Sus scrofa: one gene and its partners. The protein of the gene in region 3 interacts with the protein of the main gene of each other region in a biochemical or structural test. Links are inferred from orthologs where the notes say so. Each region holds a gene or a part of one and is shown on either strand. Other genes may lie near its edges.

Region 1 (8,422 bases), on a different chromosome or scaffold from region 3:
TATGGGGACCTCAGTCCGACATTGTGGGCTTGCTGGGAGGGTTGGAGGAGAAGGACGGACAAGGACCTGGCGGGCCGACGTGAGCCTCCTTGCTGGGAAGCCAGTAAGTGCCGGGGCTGCCTCCCGGCTCCTCTCCAGACATCACAGACTCTCGAGATCTGGGAGGTGGGAATGTCACTCAATCTCACCCATGAAGCGGGAGTCACCCGGTCAGGCTCCCTGGCAGGTACTCAACTGGTTCTACTTGAAGAGCTCTGGGCAGGAGGAGCTCACTCTTTCATAAAACATCCGACAGATGCTCCCCGTCTTTCTCTACCTCCAGTTCTGGGAAGCTTCTAGAAGGGGCGATCATCTTCCATCTGAACCCCAACTCCAGCCTGTCTCTGACTGGGACTGCCTGAAACTGGCTTTCAAATGAGCCTGAAAGGGAGCGCTTCAAATAGACCAAATGAGGGGTGGAATGAACGGCCAGGGATGGTGGAGACGGGGCAGCTGGGGGGCAGGAAGGGAGAAGGGAGGGAGCCAAAGGGCGCACTGGGCCCTCAAAACTCCGGGTCTTGGCCGGGCTGGCCGCATCCTCCGCAGGGGGTGTGTATCTGCCTGTGTCTCTGCCTACTTCCAGGCAGGGCTGGGATCCCGGAGGCCTGGGTTTAGGACCCAGCTCTGCTTCCTCCACCCTCAGATCATCACTGTGACCTTAGCGGTGGGGGTGGAGGATCCACTTCCCTTTCTGGGTCTCAGTTTCCACGTCTGTAAACTCTGGGCCTCAGACCAGCAGTTTAGCGACAAATCTGGTTTGAATCGACACCCCGTCCTGCCAGCGGCTGGGATGGCTGGCCCCTCACCTCCAGCCCAGCATGCTGGGACCCATGGGGCTCCCGAGTGTCTGGTTTCAGGCCAGAGACTCTGTCTCTTCCCCCTGAACCCCTCTTTTGCGTCCAGTACCTCTCTCCCGTTTCTTGCTTTTGAGGGTTCTATCATCCCCATTTTACAGGTGAGGAGATGGAGGTAGAAACAGGGAAAGTCACTTGTTCAAGGCCACAGAGAGCTATTCGCAATTCAGGACTCCTTCTCTGTGCCCAGGAGAGCAGCAGGACTCAAGGGCATCTTTTCTCAGGAGAGTCACCGAGATCTTGAATGGCCAACCGTTCTGGATACAGCTGTAGACTCTGCACAGGGTGGGGGCTGGGGGGGCTGCCCAAGGTCACAGAGCCAAGCCACCGCAGACTGGGGTCCTGAACTCAGGCTCCCCGCCTCCCGGGCCTCACCTCGCCAAGGGGACAGAAACACAGTCTGACCTCCTGCCCTGCCCGGAGATCTCCAAGATTAGAGCTCTCAACGGCCTCTCGGCCCTGCCTGGCTGCTCCCAGGAGCCCCTGATACCCGGGACGGAGGGAGAAGAGTGAGCAGGAAGACAGGAAAGAAAGTTGAGGGTTGGCCGCTTGCCCCCAGCCCTCTGTCCCTCCCTCTCCTTCTCTCCTCGTGCAGGGGGAGCGGCGGTGATGTAATGCGCTCGGCTTTGGTCCCGGTGCCAATCTCAGAAGAGAGACGACAGATTGCGTGAGCCAAATTTGGCATCCTAGGGGGAGAGGCATGAAAAGTGGAGATGTGGAGGAGAGGAGCGAGGAGCCTGGGGAGGTGCAGGAGAAGGCCCCCTGCCCAGCAGACCCCAAGACGCCTCCCCGATTCGACTCCGGGCCCCACCTCCTCCCTGGCCCACCTGGCCTCCGGGCCTCCCCTCCTCACTCTGAGAGGCCAGCCTGGCTGGTCCCCGGACCCTCCAGGCCCAGGGCTGCCAGGGCTGCCCCCCCCCAGCACACCGCTCCAGCTCCATTTCCCACCGCCGCGAGTCTCCTGGTTACCATGTTGCTGGTTGTCATGTCGCTTCCATGTCCTCGTGACTCAGTGGTCCCCGCAGAGGGCCCCCCTCCTCCTCACACCCCCCTCGGCACACGCCCCCGCCTCCCCCAGATCCACATTAAGAACCAGCCCGCCCTGTAAGCCTACACTGTTCCTCCTCCCCTTCCCTCTTCCATCCTAAGCTAAGAAATCCTTTCACCGTATCTCCTAGGGCTCCTTCATTCTCTGCTCTGCAAATGTCAGGTAAGAACCTACTATGCTCCAGACTTGTGTCAGCTGCTTCCAGAGACCTGACCTAGTCTGCGAATCACTCAGCAACCCAAAGAAGTCAGTGCCGTCATCCCCACTTCCCAGGTGAAGAAACCGAGGCCCAGAGAGGTCCGGCCAGCTGCCCAAGGTCACCCAGGAGAAATTCAAGGCCAGCCCTGTCTAGTCCCAGTCACTCCAATACTTGCAGGAGAGAGGAGCTTCCCTTTCCAGGGTACACCCAAAGGTTCCTGAGGAAGAGGTCCCCAGCCCCAGGTCCCCCTCCTCGGATGCCGGACACTGCCCTTCTTGGTCAGTCCTCTAGTTCAGGCCACGTTCCCCCTCCCCGTTAGCTATGCCTCTTCCCAGAGGTAAAATGAGTCTTTACTTCCATTTGCTCTGCACTTTCCCAGCCTGTAGACAGCCCTCGGCTCCCTCGAGCCCAGCCCCCCCTCCCTTGGAGGTCAGTGGGACAGGGGACTGACTGCTGTCCTCATTCCACAGATGTGGAAGTTGAGGGCCAGGGAGGAGAGCGGCTTGCCCGTGGTGCTGGCCCCTCTGCCAGCTGAGCAGACTTCTAGGAGCCCAAATGGGGGCTACCCAAGGCCCACTGCCCAGTGGGGAAAACCCCAGGAAGAGCCCATCCCCCAGGAGAGAACCAAGTAGAATGTTCTAGGTTCAGCCCTCCAGACTCCGATTTGGCTATAGGTCAGCTCAACAGCCAACCGCCTTTGCTCCTGCCACACCGCACGGCAGCCCTGAGCCCAGTGCCCCCTTCCACATGTTGTCCCCTCATCCCAGGCCACGCCAGGACCACAGTTTGGCTCTCAGGCCCCCAAAGTCCTGCCAACAGCTCTCAAAAGTCCCAAAGCCATGGAGGTCACAAGACTGGATGTGGGGGAGAAACAGAATAGACATTCTACACACACACACACACACACACGCACACGCACACGCACACACACACAGGTCTGGCTCCTCTCTGGACCTTGCATGTGTGGCCCTTAGGCCTCCCTCCCTCAGCTCTCTGTTCCCTCAACCTGCTTCTTGGCATCCTCCTGCTCCGGAGGCCCCCGCCTGCTAACTATGCCAGGCAGCCCTCCACCTGTCTCTCGCCCACCCCCACCACCCCCCTGCACCCTCTCCCCATCTTAGAGCCTGGGCTCTGGAAACACAAGTGCCATGTAGATGCTGGTCAGGGGACACTGGGCACGGTTGCAGGGAAGTTTCCCTACTCCATCCAGACCTCTCTTTCCTGGTGCTCTCCGTCTAGGGAGGGAAGGCACTCTGGCCTCCCTCTGTGGCCTGTCGCCACCGCTGGGAAGCCTGAACTGCTTCATCCATCCCTGTCCACCCTCTCTAGGGTCTCAGGGCCCAAAGCAGGTGCTCAAAACGAGAGAAGAGGGATTTTGTTCTGTCAGGGCCATTTTGCAAACAGGCTGCAGTTGGGGAGGTGGATAGGAGACCCCCCCCCCCCTTTGCCACAAGTCATCTGCTTTGAAACTCCTCCAACCCAGTGTGACAACTGGGGGTGGGTGGAGGCAGGGAAAGGTCACGGCCGGGGCAAGAGGTCCAGGCCCTTTGCACTCACCTCTACCCCCCCTCCTGGCAGAAACCCAGACCTTGACGCTCCTGAGACGACGACGGACAGAGGACAGAGCTCCTCGGCTCCGGGGAAGTCGCCTGATCGCGCTGAACGCGCGCCCGGCGGCCGAAGCCCGGGTCAGGGGATAAGGTGCCGAGCGGGCGGGGCCCGAGCCGCCAGGCCCCGGGACACACACACATACACACGCACGCGGCGGGACAGACGGACGGACAGCGCCAGCGGCGAGCGCCGGCCGGGCTTACCGCGGGGCGCAGGGTCCGACGAGTCTCCGGGAGGCGGCGAGAGGCCGCTACATCCCACGGCGCAGTCGGGCGGGCAGCGTCCCGGGCCGGGAGCGGGGAGTCCCGGCGCCCCTTCCCCGCGAACTCGGCGGCCGGCCCCGCCCCCCTCCCCCGCTGCCTGTGGGTCTGTCCGTCGGTCCCCCGGTGTCCCGGCCTCCGGGCCGTCCCGCGCCGCTCCCCGCCGGCCGCCCAACTTTCAGCGCTGCCCCGCGCCGCGCCCTCGGCGCCGCCTCAGCTTCAGCATCGTCGGGCCCCGGGCCGGGGCTCAGAGCGCGGGGGTCCGGGGACCCATGGCGCTGGAGCCCCCCGCCCCCGCCGCCTTCTCTCCGCCGCCCCCACGGTTCTCTCGCTGTCCCTCGGCGCTGTCCCCCGCCCTGCGCTCCGCTCCCTGGCCCGCTGCGCTCGCCTCCGGCCCCGAGACCCCCGAAGCCGGCCGGCCCGGGCTCTGCCGCCCCCGCCCCCGCCGGCCCCCTCGGCTCTCGGTCTCTCGCAGTCTCTCCTGCCCGCCTGGGTCTCTCCGACTCTCCCCGCGGGCCCCTGTCTTCGTCTCCGTCGCCCTCCCGGTCTGTCCGCTGCCTTCCTCTGCCTCTGCCCTCTCTCCCCTGAGCGTCTCTGTCTCGCTCCGGGTCCCTGCCTCTGCCTCTCTCTCTCTCTGCCTCCCACTCTCGGTGCGGCCCCCGCGGTCTCGGACCCAGGCCCCCGCCTCTGCCGCGTCCCCGGCTCGCCCGGGAGCCCGAGCTCCCGCCGCCCGCGGCGCGCCGAGAACTCCCAACTCGCGGCACGCCGCCCCGCTTTGCGAGACTTTCGCCCCTCCTCACACGTGACCCGCGCCCCGCTGCGGAGGCCGCGCCCCCCCACCCCAGCCCCGGAGCCCCGGGCGGCCCGGGGGACCCGGCCCCGGCCCGTCCCCTCAGCCTAGCCCGGCATCACACCCCCTCCCACCCGCGGGCAGCGCCGGGCCGGGCAGGGGCTGGGGGCCGCGGGGGCCGCTCCTGTCCCAGATCCTGCCCGGGTTTTCCTCCTCCCTCCAGGAGCACTCCGCCCAGAACCCGCTCCGAGAATCCGCTCCCAGGTTTTCTCGCCCCCCAGGGGCAGGTGGAGAGGGTTCCTCCGCGCCGGGAAGGGAGTGGGTGGGATAGGGTCGGTACCCGGTTCCTCGGCTGCGGGCCACTCCCCTCGGCGGTTCCCTTCCCCTCCTGCAGGACTGGCCATTAAGGACCCTACGCACCCCGCCCCCGGGAGCCGGAGGTGTAACCCTCCTGGAGGGACCCTCACCATCCGCTGGGCAGCACCGCCCCGTTTGACAGACTGGGAAACTGGGTATCAGAAAGGGTCATAAGTTTGCCCAAGGTCACCCAGAGGTGGCAGAGCCGGGCCAAACCACAGTTTTTCCTTCTCTGCGTCCCCATCACCCCAAAATGTCTTTATAGGGAGGATCTCGCCCGTTTCCTTCTCATCTTGGGGGCGCACCGGTCTGGACCCCACACCAGTCTGGACTGTGGGGAGAAAGCCCCAGCTCCTCACAGCCCCTGGCGAGCCAGCCACTCCCGTGGCCATTCCTGCCACCTCACTCTGAGGATGCAGGAGGTTAGAGGATGTAGGGTGCGAGGATGAACGAATACCTGCAGTTAGATAGCCAGAAGGACTTCCCTGGGAGCCTGGCCATCTCTGACTGGCCCCAGTTAAGTGAGGGAGATTGGGGCACTCCAAGCCGGACCGAGAATTTACTGAACATAAAATCTCCAGCTCATCCTTCAAGCTGACCCTCTGAAGTTGCCGCAGGCACAGGAACCACCACACTTGAACCATCATGACTGTTCCCAATCCCCACAGTCCCTCCCCTCCTAAAAGGATTGCGTCCCAACTCCTCAGTGTGATGTACAGTCAGGTCCCACCTTATCTCACACCCCATATACCCACACATACACCACGATGCCTACAGATTCCCGAACACACCAGATGCTTCCACACCTCTCTGCCTTTGCACATGCTATTCTTCCTGCCTTAAATGCCCTTCCTGCTTCTCTGCTCTAAGAATTCCTGCTGTTTCCCAAGTCCAGCCTCCACGCCACCTCCCCTAGGAAGGCCTCCTGCTGCCCTTAGCAGAAGTCATCCATCACCTCCTCATTCATTCATCCAGCACCGGCCACAAGTTTAGTTCTTTTTTTTTTTTTTTTTTTTTTTTTTTGTCTTTTTGCTATTTCTTTGGGCCGCTCCCACGGCATATGGGGGTTCCCAGGCTAGGGGTCTAATCGGAGCTGTAGCCACAGCAACAGCCAGAGCCACAGCAACGCAGGATCCGAGCTGCATCTGCAACCTACACCACAGCTCACGGCAACGCCGGATCAATAACCCACTGAGCAAGGGCAGGGACCGAACCCGCAACCTCATGGTTCCTAGTCGGATTCGTTAACCACTGCGCCACGACGGGAACTCCACAAGTTTAGTTCTTGTTAGGTGGGCTTGGGAGTCAGGCCAACCTCAGCTACAGCACTTAGGAGCTGCATGACCTTGAGCAGATATTTTATTGAACCTGTTTATAATATTAAGACCCTGGAGTTCCCTTGTGGTGCAACGCGTTAAAGATCCAGCGTTGTCGCTGCAGCAGCTCAGGTCACTACTGTGGCATGGGTTCAGTCCCTGGCCTGGCAACTTCCACATGCCACAGGCATGGTAAAATAAATAAAATAAAATAAAACCAGGACCCTCACAGTCCCTCCCCTCACAGGAGGTCGATGCACAAGAAATGCACAGTTCATAGCAGGTGCTCAGTAAACGTGACTATCCCTTCTCAGTCCTCCCCTCGACACTGCAGAGCTTCAAGGCGCATGCCCCATTCCCTGCCCAGCTTCCTCATTACCCTGCTGTGCCCTCGTGGGCGGGCAACCAGGACTGATGTTCCCTGGGAGGAGTCTTTGGTGTGTGAATGGCCGGGAGAACTTAACAGTCTGAAGGCGGGGTCAGCTGTGGTGTATGCCTCTTGCTTATCACACCTTTCCCTGAATTGGAAGTGGGCGGATGCAGGTGAGGCAAATGTCCTGTGGTCTCTTCCCCTGGCCAGAGACCTGGCCCGGTGGCTGCCCTGAGGGTGTGGGGGGTGCAGAGGAAGGAGAAAGGGCAGGAAGAAGGGAGAGATGGATACAGGGGTGTCTTTAGACCCAGAGCATCTGTTTCTGTGGGATCAAACCCAATGCCTGGTCACTGGGTACCAGTTTCAGGAAAGAGCGGCTGGGGGGGGGCGGGCTCAGGGGCAGTGACTTGGGGGGGCAGCTGTGACACCACAGGGGTTGAGAGGAAACATCGAAACATCCAATAATGATCACCTTGCTGGGCCTGGCGGCCTCTGTGGCTCATCTCCTATAAGGAGAGTCCTGTGGCGGCTGAGAGCAGACTGGGAGAAAGGGAGGAGAGGCAGAAAGGGCAGCTCCAGTCAGGGAGAACTTCACAGACCACTGGAAAAAAAAGTCACCCTCCAATCCTGTGTGACTCTGGACAGCTCACCTCTCCTCTCTGGGCCTCAGTTTCCTCATATGTAAAGTGGGGAGGATCACGTCCACTTTAAGGGGCTGTTCCAAGGATGATGAAAGACTAATGGAAGGATCTGCCATGTTCCAGTAGCTCCTCGCTGTGTGCGGGGCGGGGTGGGGAGGGGGTGGGAAGGCCTGTGAGACAGGTATGCAAAGGTTGCAGGGGTGGGAGTGGCAGGTTTGGGTGTCAGAACTGGGTGACCCTGGGCAAGCTCCTTGTCCTTGCTGGACCTCACAGGCCTCATCTGTCATGGGATAATCTGGCCTGGGTCCCCAAAGGGCAAATAGACTTTGTCATCATCTAACACAGAAGCACCCCCCGGATGGAGGGAGAAGAGACATCGCTGGAGTGCCTGGCGTCACAGCGGCCAGCACTACTCAGGCCTTCACGGGCAGAGTCTCGTTTCGCCCTTACAGGAGCCCTGTGACACAGGCCTTTGTTACCAGCAGGGAAGCTGAGGCATGTGGCATGGCCCGGGGGGCCTGGAAGAACTCTTTGCAAGGGTGAGATCTGCTCTGAAGTTTGATGGGAACCATAGTGAAAACTGGCGTCCATCTGTAGGTTTTGCTAAAGCCTCCGGCCCGTTCTCCATTCCTCCTGTTTGCCCCTCACAACAACTCACTGAGGCAGAGACCCTGACTGTCTATCCCTAGTTTCCAGGTGAGGAACCTGAACTGAGACAGGGATAAGGAAGAGCCTTGCCTGGGGTCACTGAGGGCATAAGCAAGGATCTGAGCCACGATTTGAACCCGCTCCTAGTTTCTGGGGAAAGGTCATCCCAGGCCAGCAGGGCGCTCACTCACTGGCTCACTCTGGGAGCCCAGTCAGGCCTCCCTGGTCCTGAAGGGGCCCCGTGAGCTGGTGTAAAGGGCTAGGAGGCCTGGAGGGGAGAGGGATGGGT
Region 2 (8,322 bases), on a different chromosome or scaffold from region 3:
TATTAGAATAGTAGAAGAATGTTAAAGCTACAAAAGAAAAACTAAAAAAAAAAAAAAAAAAAAAAAGATAGCTGTGTCAATTCTTTATCAACAGCTACTAAAAAGAAGGCTATGATGACAGAACCAGGTTTGGGGGAAAAAAACTAAGACTCGCCCATAAAGGTCATTTTCTTATTCACAAAGGATTTCCATGGCTGGAGATTTACTTCCTCCTCTCAAAACCACTGCAGGTTCCCTTCCCGCCCAGCAGTTCAGTAGCCAAGGGGTTCTGGCTGCAGATGGAGATTTCTTTCCCTTTCTTCACACTGTCTTCTCTCCCCAAACTCTTTCCAGAAGCCAATGACTACAGAGGTTTCAAATATCAAAAATCCCCTACCTACCTGCCTATAGAAGTGCTAATATGAGAAACTAAAGTTCTGTGGTTTTTAAATTAATTGCTGAAGTACAAAAGAATAAATATGTTAAGAGGGTAAATAACTTACAAATTGGAAGCAGCTCCTGACACTTGGCTCAATGTTGCTTCCCCCAAAGGATGCAACTTCTCCCAGCTGTCTTGGGATTTGGATAGAATCATGCAGAAGGAGGCCCAGTCTGCGCTGGTCACAAAATCCTGTTGAACTGGCCACTTGCTTGAACAGGTCTACAAAAGGAAGAAGAGAATTTCAACAATCAAAAATCAGTACCCAGCAGATACTAGCAAAACCTAAGGACCAACTCAATTCCGGTACCAATTCTCAAGAGCAGCCAAGATTTCCCCAGAAGGGTTACTTCCACTGTATGCTAATCTGGACATTTATTATTTTTATGGGTTGAGTTAATCATCACTGTGTATAAATGAAACATGACAACTTTTAAATAAACTACAGCCCTGCAAGAAATGAGAGTTTACATACAGTTCTGACATGTGAATTTTTCCTAAGCCAGAACATAATCCTTTGGAAAATATTTTATATATAGGACATGACCACTATTATAAAATAAATGTTTTAGCATTAAGAATCTTATAACTGGCCCAAAGCACTATCCTCTTTGGACACCAGATTCCAAAATATATCCAAATCAGGACCTCTTTATGAAGTCATACAATCACTGAATTTCTAGTATGTGTTTCCAAAGGATGCTGAACATATTTGTGATTAGCATCACTGTACACTGTTACTGATTCAATATGTGTCTTTTTGGCTGGTGAAAGATACCCCTTGAGGGCAGGGACCACATCTTGGTCCACTGTGTGCCAGAAATAGAAGAGCAGTTCCTGGAGGCTGGTGGGTGCCCAATACACAGGGATTCAAGGAATGAAAAAACATACCAAACACTTACAATACATGTTTTGTTCTCAAAAATAGAATTATTTTAATCCTACCTCATATTCAAATAAAAGTTGTCCCAAAAGTAAATGGATGAGAGCTTTTCTTACTCATAAGCACTAAGAAATTAAAACTCTAAGAAACCTGAAGTTTTAACAGGATATTTATGATGGCAGTACCAACACTGAGGCTTCACAGAGAGCCCTTCCCCATCTCTCCAGCATACACACAAAATTTCAAAATTATGAATTACCTTCAAATGTCCCAGTTTGAAGTTAACATTTTTGTTTCACCAACCTCAAACATATTCCCTCCTAGTAGTTATTTGAAACATGGGCTGGAAGCTCCATTGATGAATTGAGTGGGAATGACGATATACTGGTACTACACCACTGGCCAGGTTAGAGTAAAAGCTAACCTATAACAAGTCACTACCGTATTGAAAGAAGAAGATCCCACAGAAGTATTCTATTTCATCCAAAATACATTTTGTTTTGGCTGTGCCTGTAGCATGTGTAAGTTCCCCAGCCAGGGATCAAATGCATGCCGAAGCAGTGACCCGAGCCACTGCCATAACAACACTGGATCCTTAACCTGCTGGGAACTCCCCAATACATTTTTAAATGGCTAACAAAAGCTGTTCCGTTATTTTTTTCTTGGGTTCTCAGGATGGGGAAACTCAAGTGGAAACTACATAAAAGTGAGCGTTAAAAGAGCTTGTATATTTGTGGCTTACTCCTGGGGGGAAATGAGCAATAGGATACAGAGTGGCTTTGGAGGAATTCAATCTCTTTTATCTCCTGCCCATCCTTAAGCTCAGCACAGCTCCTTATCCCTGTGTGGCTAGGCCTTAGGGGAAAAAAGAAAAGACCAGATAGACTAGGTTTGTTTAATATTCCTACCGAAAAGATGTCTCGCAAGCATTTAATGGGGAAATACAGGTACATTCTTTTACGATGGGAATAAATCGTTGCTTAGTCATCTCAACCATCCCTCCTCCAGCATTTGCTTTTAATTTGGATTTACAAATTTTAAGCAGAAGCACCCAATGGCTAATCAAAAGGAAATTTTATAAGGTGATATTTATCCTGTAAGAAATGACGAGCTGTCTCTCAAATAATAAAATGTTAATCACATCACAGAATTGGATATGTCAGTACAACTTGCAGGAAGATGATTATAAAATAAACAATGTTTCCTGAACATGAATGCCAGATAGTGCTCTTTAAATAAGACTCAAAAGACGAGGCAAGTGCAGGGATTAAACCTTCACATTTATTTTTCTGACTTAGACAAAGGGGTTAGGAAATCAGACTTTATCCCCAAGGAACATGTGTTTTGTTTAGACATAGTCAATGCAATGTAAAATAACACTTGCACTGGAGAAGTTAATCCTCATTCTCTATTTAAATACCTACAATTTAACGTCTGACAGGGAATGGCACAAACCAAATTTTATGACAGTCTAAAAGTAGTTCTACACCTTACATGAGGAACCTGCTGCCAAATAAGAACACTATGTCATTCCCCATCTAGAACAGGGGTAATTAGCCACCATTAATAAAAGAATACAGACTTAATACACATGACTTACATCTGTACTTGTCTTCCAAGTGTGCTTTACACAGAGAAACGATGCCAGTTTTAAAAGACAGGACCCGAATCCTCCCCGTTCGTCCCCTATTATGAATAATCAAAGCAGAAAAACAATTACTGACACTTTACTAAATGATAAAAAACTTCTCAGTTAAGAAAAAAACCCTTGGATATGGGAACTCTATTGACCATTGTTTAAGATCGTTAAGAACATTTCTGAGTTCATTATCTATCTGGCTGATAACCTAGAATGCGATGGAAATTTGACCAACTCAACCAATGAACACTTAGCAAGTTTTCAATTCTTAAAAACCCCTTCTTGAATGGTAAGAGTTTCTCTACATAAAAGAAGAAAAAAATAGCCTCTATTTATCTAGGGAGAGCCACCTGGGCTAAGTTAATAAGTGGAAGATTTACTACTATGTACTAATAAGCAAATTACCTACTTTGGTTACTGAAGCCAAAAAAAAAAAAAAAATTAACTAACTGCCTAACTGCTCTGCCCTCTTCAACACTCATTTAGATTTTCATCAGATTGCCCTTTATTGAGAAGAAAATTAATCACTTCAGGCCACATGACATGTAATATAAAATGGGAATATTTATGTCTATAAGAAAAATATGATGCAGTTTATTAGAGAGCATTCAGCTAGATGATCTTAAACAGCAAATTAAAAATAACCTATTGCTACAGCAATGTTTTAATACAGATGTACTTTCATGTTACATATAAAGCATTCCAGAAGGTATTTATTAATAAGTTCATTTTATCCATGGGAAAATTAAAATGAAGTTTTTCATTTTCTAGAAAATGCCTTTTGATAGTTTTCAGCTTTGATTTTGTTGTGAAAAATACTGAACCATATTTGCTGGTTAAAAAAATAGTCTGGAGAATGGCAAAGGACAAGTCCCAATGGTGGTTATTTTTGGTGAAAAATATGTTCACCTTTCAACTGGTACAATTTACTAAATCTATTAGTAAAAAATGGAAATCGTGGGTCCTAACACATTAACAAAAGCACTATCATTGAAGATTTTATCTTTTTCCCTTTTTAAAAAGGCAAAGCAAAGTTTAACAAACTTTATGTAAAAACTCAGGTCTTCAAGGAGTTAAAATTGTCCCCTCAAAATTTTCAGGCATAGAGAGAGGAAGTTACCAGAATCCATTTACACAACATCTGGAAAGAAAATGGTGCCAAAATACATTTGAGGGAAGACCTGAATAGAAACCCTTATCAAAGCAAGTGTAAGTATAATCCGTAATTAAAATCCAACATGTTCAAGAGCTTGGTAGATAATGATCAGAATTCAATAGCCAGGTGATTTGGAATTTAGAAAGCAATGCCTTATCAAAGTAACAAAGAAAAAAAGGTATACATTTTAAGCCAGGAGATGGTAGAAATCTACAACAAAGGCAAAAGCAAAACAGTTGCTATGCAACTCCTTTCAGAAAACCTTTGCAGATTTCCAAATGTGGAAAATGTTCTTATTGACATGGGAAATCGGGCATATAATAATTTTGAGGTCTGAGAAGAATTCAGTCAAAATTAAGACCAATTCCTTCTGCTGCCTTCCTCAATTATCTTCATTAAGCTCAAGATGAAACTGGGGAGCTCGCCTAAGTGTAATCCAAAAGAAATAAGCAAGTTCTAAGAGAGAGATAAATGGAGGGCCAAATTGCAACTTCATAAACCCTTATTTAAAAAAAAAAAAAAAAAAGACAAAACTTCCTCAGTTTGAGGAGCTGAGTTTGCTACATCAAGGGCTTATTTTCTTTTCTTTTCCTTTTTGCTTATCAATGCAGCCTTCTGCAAAAACCTATGAATATCAGCAAACACTGTTCAGAGCTGGTGACAGGTGTGCCAGCATCTCCAGGAGCTCACCCCTTCCGGCTGGTGAGAGGGAGCCATCCCTGAAGAGGATGAAGTTCAAAGTACACAGGCAAGGAAGGCAGAGAACCAAGGGCTACACACTGTCTCATGCTACTACTGGAAAAATGAGTAACTTTGGGGTTTTGTCTGCTTGATGATCTGAGAACAACCTACCTTATTGTTCTTACCCTCCCCACTTCTCAACATATTTTTCAGTTCCATTAAAGGCAAAAATGATTAATCACGGGGACAACATAAGGTCAGAGGGCTTCATGAAACTTTCATTCCAAGGACCATATTTCTAGACTGGAGCCCTGTTGTGATGGTAATTACACTGTCACCATTCTGTAAACCAAGCCTCCCATGACAGAGTCTGGAAAAAGCCTGCCATACGTACGTGTCATAAACATTCAGCAGCCAGTTGAGACACATATCCACGCAGAGGGGGACGTTGACCAGATTGTTGTGCTCTTGCTCCAGGCGATCATAAACAGTGGTCAAACAATTAATGATCTGCAGGATGTCCATGGGCTGGTCATTCTGCTTGAGGTTGTGCTGGTCCAAGGCATCGCATGCAGCTGACAGGCTCAAGAGATCCACTGCAAAAGTCACACAAAATCACAAGTGATTCAAAGGGGAAAATCCTTTCTTTGCTGTTTCTCTTTTTGACAATCTTAGTAGTGTTGTCTTGTCCCTTTAGTAGACACCAAACCTGAACCATACCCTCTTTTTATTTTATCTTATTTTTATTTATTTTTGGCCATACCTGCGACATGTGGAAGTTCCTAGGCCAGGGATTGAACCTGTGTCACAGCAGCAACCCGAGTCACTGCAGTGACAACACTGGATCCTTAACCCACTGTGCTACAATGAACTCCCTGCACCCTCTCTTATTAAAGCATTTTGTTTGCATCCCTCAGCTTTAAGTTTGATGGGTTTGATGGGTATTGAAGCTCTGAGGTTTTTCTTAAGTCTCACTGGCATTGGATGAAGATGTAGGTAAAGAGACAGCTCCCACTCCTGAAGTATTAGGAAATACCTGAGAGTTCAGGGGGCCCGATAGTGCTCTATGGGAACAAAGTCATTTTCACCCAAATCAGGGAAAAAAAATGTTTTACTAGAGATTTTCGAAGTCCCTGAGAATACTTTCTTGTATTAGTATCACAGAAGGTCAGTTTGATTAATCTGTATGGTTATGGTTGTATAAACTCTATTTCCAGATATGCATTTATAATCATTAAGCGTTTTTCTCCTTGAAATATCAGTCACCTCCTAATCTCTGCTATGTTCATACTAGGTGAAAAAAATAATCACCCTCATTACAATTTTCTATAGGCAAACTAAAATAACTGCATCACCTATGCTGTTTTCAGACACCAGGCTCACTTATTTCTCCTTTCACCTTCAAATTATATTCTACAATGTACTTTTCAAGTCCTCTAAGAACTTTCTAAGTGGGTGGGGAGGTTCCTTTGATCTGAGGTGGTATTTAATCATATGCTGAAAGACAAACATTTATCTAAAGTGAAACCTCAACCTCATCCAACATCAGCAAATCGTAAGCTTAACTCTCAAACTGTCATGGAAAGATGCTTTTCTCTAAAGCCAATTTATTAGCCAAATTGGAAATGCAACAACATTGCTTTTATAACACCTTATACATCTTAAGCTCTAGTCTGAATTCCCAGTCCTTGGAGAAGAAGAATCAATGGTAATTAAGGAAATCTCTCAGGCATCTCGGGGCAGGAGGCAACACAATTATAAATGTAACTGCAGATAGGAACGACCATAACAGTCAGTATATCCCAGTCAGTAAACAGCTTCTGGCTAGTTCTAATTAAATGCTAACCCCAAAATAGTGGTTAATACCTTTGTAGGTTAATACCTATGTAGTGCACGTTTTTCTCTTTTAAAAAAAGGAAAATAGTAAGCTTTGAAGTTTCTCTGAAAGCATGAAGGAGACCCGGTGGTGGAAGTAGGTTTGTGGTTTTTTGTTTTTTGTTTTTTTTTTTTTTTTTTTTTTTTTGTCTTTCATCCCAGTGAGTAAAGCTCTCTGCTTCCATGTACCAGTTTCCCTAAAATACCCTGGCTGAGCACTCATCCTATTAAAGCCAAGCCCCCACTCCTTTGGCTTAAAAATACTTTCAAGATACAAAAATGATCTCTTTACTTTCTGTCTAAAGTGGCAGAAAGGAACATAACTTGATTTGAGAGGGAAGTAGGTGGGAAAGAGAATAAAGACTTTTTTTAAAATAACACCACGAGCAGGCAGGAGGACAGGAGGAGGGGAAGGCCTACCAGGGACTGTATGAGAGACCAGAGAGAGGTACAGAAACTTCCATCCTCTCTGCTGGGTGACCTCCTCCGAGGACACATTTTCAGGTGTCAGCAGTGAGAACATTCAGACACGCAGCACACCATTTCCACCAGCGGAAGAGAGAAGTGGTTTTCCATCAAGTACCAATGTTTGCAACATGTTTCTTTATACAATATATGAAGCCAAGGGTGGCCGGAAGTTTTTCTAGTATTTTCTTTTTTGTTACTCTGCCTTAGTCATTACAAATATTTTGCTTTACACCCAAGGATATAAGAAGTAACAAGTGAGAATGTTTAGACTCACTTTCATGTTAAGAATCTAATTTCCCTGTGTGATGGAAACAAATCACCAGCAGCAAAATGGCATGCATTTCTTTTTATTGGGCCTACTCTTTTCTCTGTACAGGTGAACAAGTAACACTCAGAAGAGGAAACTGGGAGCATAAATAGTTCCAGAGGGGCGCAAAGCAATTGCTCTGAAATAACAGGAGCAGGAGATGACACAGTTAGGAGAGAAATACCATACGGTGTGTTCTGCTAAAACCAGACATGGTTAAACACAACGATCCATCACAGAAGACTGGAGAACACAGTTTCCCAAAACAAACATATCAAACAGAATACCACTTTCATGGAACAATTTTTAAAAGACTCCTATTTAGGTGTGTATAGCCAATACCACAGACTTGAAAAGAGGTGAGAAAATCAGTTGGGACAATTTAATTGCCACACAAACATACACTTAACTGTTCAAAATGTGCATCTTAGAGAATACATTGAGTTTTTTTATGATACATTAGACATAATGATTAGCTGTTTCTAGAAACTTTAACAAGCAACTATCAGACGCAGTTTTGTAAAACTATCCCTTTAGTTCAAGCTAGGAATTTCCATTTAGGGGGAAAATATATTTCCTTTAGTGTATTCACTGAGGGAATTTTAAAGCTATATAAAAACCCAAATATGCGGAGTTGCCGTCGTGGTGCAGCGGAAACGAATCCAACTAGGAACCATGAGGTTGCGAGTTCGATCCCTGGACTTGCTCAGTGGGTTAAAGATCCGGTGTTGTCATGAGCTGCGGTGTAGGTCGAAGATGTGGCTCAGATTTGGTGTTGCTGTGGCTGTGGCGTAGGCCAGCAGCAACAGCTCTGATTAGACCTCTAGCCTGGGAACCTCCATATGCCACAAGTGCAGCCCTAAAAGGACAAAAGACAAAAAAATCAAAAACAAGT
Region 3 (3,600 bases):
GCTAACACAGTGTCTGAGCAGTATTGTAAGCCAGGTCTCCAGAGACCCAGACCCAGAGAGCCCCACCTTCCAGCCCTCTTTCCTCACAGGGGTTCTTCTCCCTCCAGGTCTCTCAGTGTGGGACTTAAGGCTTCTCCGTATTTGACTGTGAACAGAACAACGGCTTAATCTTTAGTTTTATTTTGTCTTTTTTTTTTTTTTTTTTTTGGTCTTTTTAGGGCCGCACCCGCGGCATATGGAGGTTCCCAGGCTAGGGGTCAAATCGGAGCTGTAGCTGCCGGCCTACACCGCAGCCACAGCAACGCCAGATCCAAGCCATGTCTGCGACCTACACCACAGCTCACCCACTGAGCGAGGCCAGGGATGGAACCCACAACCTCATGGTTCCTAGTCGGATTCGGAAACCACTGAGCCACGACGTGAACTCCAAGAACAAGGGCTTAATCTCAAACACCTTTCCAATTTCCAAGTGAGGGCAGTACCCACTCTTTCCCCAAACCCTAAACAGCCTGCAACGTGCTCATCCCAGTGGGAGGGGCCTGTTAGCGTTAGTCACCACGCCCCACACTAAGCCACGCCCACAGATATTAGCTCTGGCCCCACCCTGGGAAACAGGCTCCCTCAAACCTTCTTTAGCTGCCAGCCTGCGAAGTCCCTCGCGGCTTGGTGTCTACTACTTAAACTCAAGCCCTGTCTCTGGAGTCCGGCTCTCCGCCATATGCAGTCCCACCTCAACAACCAAAGTCTCGCAGCAGTGTCCATGGTTCTTTTTCCTGTGCTGTCACGTAGGTGAGCGACGGTCCTGGCCCCGGACTGCCACGCCCAGCGAAGTCTCTTCCACAGGATGAAGCCACGCCCCTAATTGCCCCACCGCCCCCGTTTCAGAAGCTTCTCGCTGTAACTCGTGGTCCCGCCCAGACGCCCTTATGACCCCACCCCCATGAAGTCCCACACTACATCCTTCGGCTCCTGGACCCCGCCCTCCCTGTCTCTCCTGAAGCTTGTCTGTGGCCACGCCCCCGCCGTTAGCCACACCCACACATAGCCCCGCCCCTAGGCTCCACCCCCAGGTGGAGGGTGGCGGCAGGCCCAGTGGGGCCCCCGCTGCCCTCTGCCCTGGGCGCTGGGTCAGAGCCTGCCGGGCACTGCGGGACAGGGCGAACGCGGCGGCCTGGGGGCTCGGAGGCGAAGATGGCGTCAGGCAGGCGCGCCCCGCGCACAGGGCTGCTGGAACTGCGCGCCGGAGCGGGCTCGGGGGCCGGCGGAGAGCGGTGGCAGCGGGTGCTGCTCAGTCTAGCTGAGGACACGCTGACCGTGAGCCCCGCCGACGGCGAACCCGGCCCGGAACCCGTCGCCCAGCGGGAGCCGGTGCCCGCGCAGCTCAACGGTGCCACCGAACCAGGCGCCGCGTCCCCGCAGCTGCCTGAGGCGCAACTGCCCCAGACGCGCTTCGTGACGGTGCACAAGGCCGATGCCGGCGGGCTGGGTATCAGCATCAAAGGTGGGCGCCGGGGCACCGAGGGCGCTGGTTGTGGTGTCTGTGGGACAGATGAGGGCGCCGGGGTCGCAGGGGCTGGCGGCGTACCGAGGACGTGGAGTTGGAGGACTTCGGTCTTGGGGGTAAGGGCGTCCGAGAGGACAGAGGGAACCCAGGAAACAAGGAGCATCAAGGTCGGAGAGGGTTTTGAGAATCGGAAGTCTTAGTTAGAAGGCAGATATGTGGAGGGCGTTGAGGGGCCCACCGAGGACACGTGGGTGGGGAGTTCCGTGCGGAGGCGAAGAGATCTAAGACTGGTTGCCTCTCAGGGGTTGCACGGCCATCAGGGATAAGAGGAGCCCCAGGAGAGCAAAGGATGGAGAAAGGGGTTTGAGGCCTGGGGGGCTGCTAGGCCATGGATGGGGGAGTCTTCAAGATACAACCAAAGTGGGAGGGAGGGCTAGTAAGGCCTGGAGTAGGAAGCATGGCCGGTGAGGAGGATTGCAAACTACATGGAGGCACCAGCTGGACTGAGCTCCCAGATAGAGAGAAAAAAAGGACCTAGAAACCTGAGGCTGTGTACCTAGGTGAAGAGTCCTAAAAGCTGGGTTTGAGTTTCCTGATCTGACCATTTGCACCTTGCACATGATTGAGACTGGCTCTCAGCCCCTAGTACTGCAGCTGCAGCTGGGATTGGATCCCTAGCCTAGCCTGGGAACTTACATATGCCTCAGGTGTGGCCCTAAAAAGAAAAAAAAAAGAGTCCAAAGTACCCACCCTGCCAACACATAGTAGGTGCCTGGTTAATTATTGCTGTTAGATGAGAGGAAAAATGGAGGCCAGGAAAGACATCCCAAGTAACTAACCATAGTGCTAAAAAACCCTGCACACTCCAGCTGCTGGGTTCACCATTCCAAACCACTTACTTCTAAGGCTCCTAGCTCCCAGCCAAAGCAGTGTTATCTGACTTGGGAAAGGGTGTTAGCCTTGGGAAAGAGTTAGCCCTGGGTGTGCACATTTCTCTTACCCTGATATTGGCTCTGTTCCTGGTGCTTCCAGACCCTTTGGCCTAGGTGAGGGGTGACTTGGCTACCACTGTGTGTCAAGTGCTGTGCCCAGTACTCTAGGCTCACAATCTACTCTAACCTGGCTACAAGTACTAAAAGATAGGAAGCATAATCCTCATTTAGCCGGTGAAGAAACTGAGACTCAGAAAAGTCAAATGGTTTTCCCAGGATCACATAGCTGGTAAGTGGCAGAGCTGGGATTTGAACCTCAATTTTCAGGCCACTAGAGAGTGTCCAGAGAAGTCACTTCTTCCCCATAGAAGGACAAACTTCCGTGCAGCCAACCAAAGGCATCTAAAAGGGTGAAAAGGGAGAGCCAGGGAGGGAGCGCCAGTTTTGCCCTCAAAACTTTAGCAAAGGATAGGGCAACAGGTCAATCCAGAAATTGTACACTCAAAAGGAGGAAGGAACTTAAGAGTTCATATAGAGATCCATTTTGCAAATGGACAAACTGAATCTTGGAGAGGAGGGGAACTTTCTAAGGTCACATAAAATACTCCCCAGCTTCATTGTTCCAGGTGAGGGTAAAGGTATTTTTAGGAGGTGTCAGGGGAATACCAGCCCCATTCAATTCTTCATGTATGGAGACTGAGCTCCTGTTGCCATGTTGACCTTTCCTCTAGGGACCAGCCCAGCCCAAGGCATCCAGGAATGATTATGGATCCAAACTGAACTGAAGTTTGAGGTGACCCTTTGAAAGGGTAGTTTCAGGTGAAGAGGGCAGATATAAATAGAAATCTCTTCCTTTTCTAGGCCTCAGGCTCTTTGCAGTGCAAAGAGCAAACTGTTGGGTCTTTGTGGGGCGTCAGGAGAGGCATTCCAATGCTACTTCTGCCACCAATTTGTTGTGTGACCTTGGAATTATGACCTCCCTTCTCTGGGCCACTAATTCCTTATCTTTGAGGATAAACCAGTAGTGTGGTATCTGAGGGCCTGACCGTGGAGTTGAGTGTTGGTTCTGGAGCCAGGAGACCCAGATTTAGATATTTGTTTTGCCACTAACCAGCTGGGTAACCTTGTCCAAGGGGCTTCTCTCCACACTTCAGTTGTCCTGAT

What was found.
Region 1: the proteins of SNTA1 (region 3) and KCNJ4 interact in a test that uses a peptide from one of them, tested with the Homo sapiens proteins (2 studies listed by BioGRID and IntAct). The link is inferred for Sus scrofa from reciprocal best matches to the Homo sapiens genes SNTA1 and KCNJ4.
Region 2: the proteins of SNTA1 (region 3) and DMD form a complex in vitro, tested with the Homo sapiens proteins (2 studies listed by BioGRID, with this or other methods). The link is inferred for Sus scrofa from reciprocal best matches to the Homo sapiens genes SNTA1 and DMD.

What each region holds. Positions count from the first base shown.
Region 1 is NC_010447.5:9,522,800-9,531,221, reverse strand, and holds the start of KCNJ4 (inward rectifier potassium channel 4), read right to left. Parts: upstream 4,824-8,422; 5' UTR 3,955-4,823; intron 1-3,954. UniProt on the Homo sapiens protein: Inward rectifier potassium channels are characterized by a greater tendency to allow potassium to flow into the cell rather than out of it.
Region 2 is NC_010461.5:27,121,601-27,129,922, forward strand, and holds part of DMD (dystrophin), read right to left. Parts: intron 5,374-8,322; coding exon 5,172-5,373; intron 2,988-5,171; coding exon 2,902-2,987; intron 641-2,901; coding exon 483-640; intron 1-482. UniProt on the Homo sapiens protein: Anchors the extracellular matrix to the cytoskeleton via F-actin. Ligand for dystroglycan.
Region 3 is NC_010459.5:36,943,694-36,947,293, reverse strand, and holds the start of SNTA1 (alpha-1-syntrophin), read left to right. Parts: upstream 1-1,061; 5' UTR 1,062-1,191; coding exon 1,192-1,501; intron 1,502-3,600. UniProt on the Homo sapiens protein: Adapter protein that binds to and probably organizes the subcellular localization of a variety of membrane proteins. May link various receptors to the actin cytoskeleton and the extracellular matrix via the dystrophin glycoprotein complex.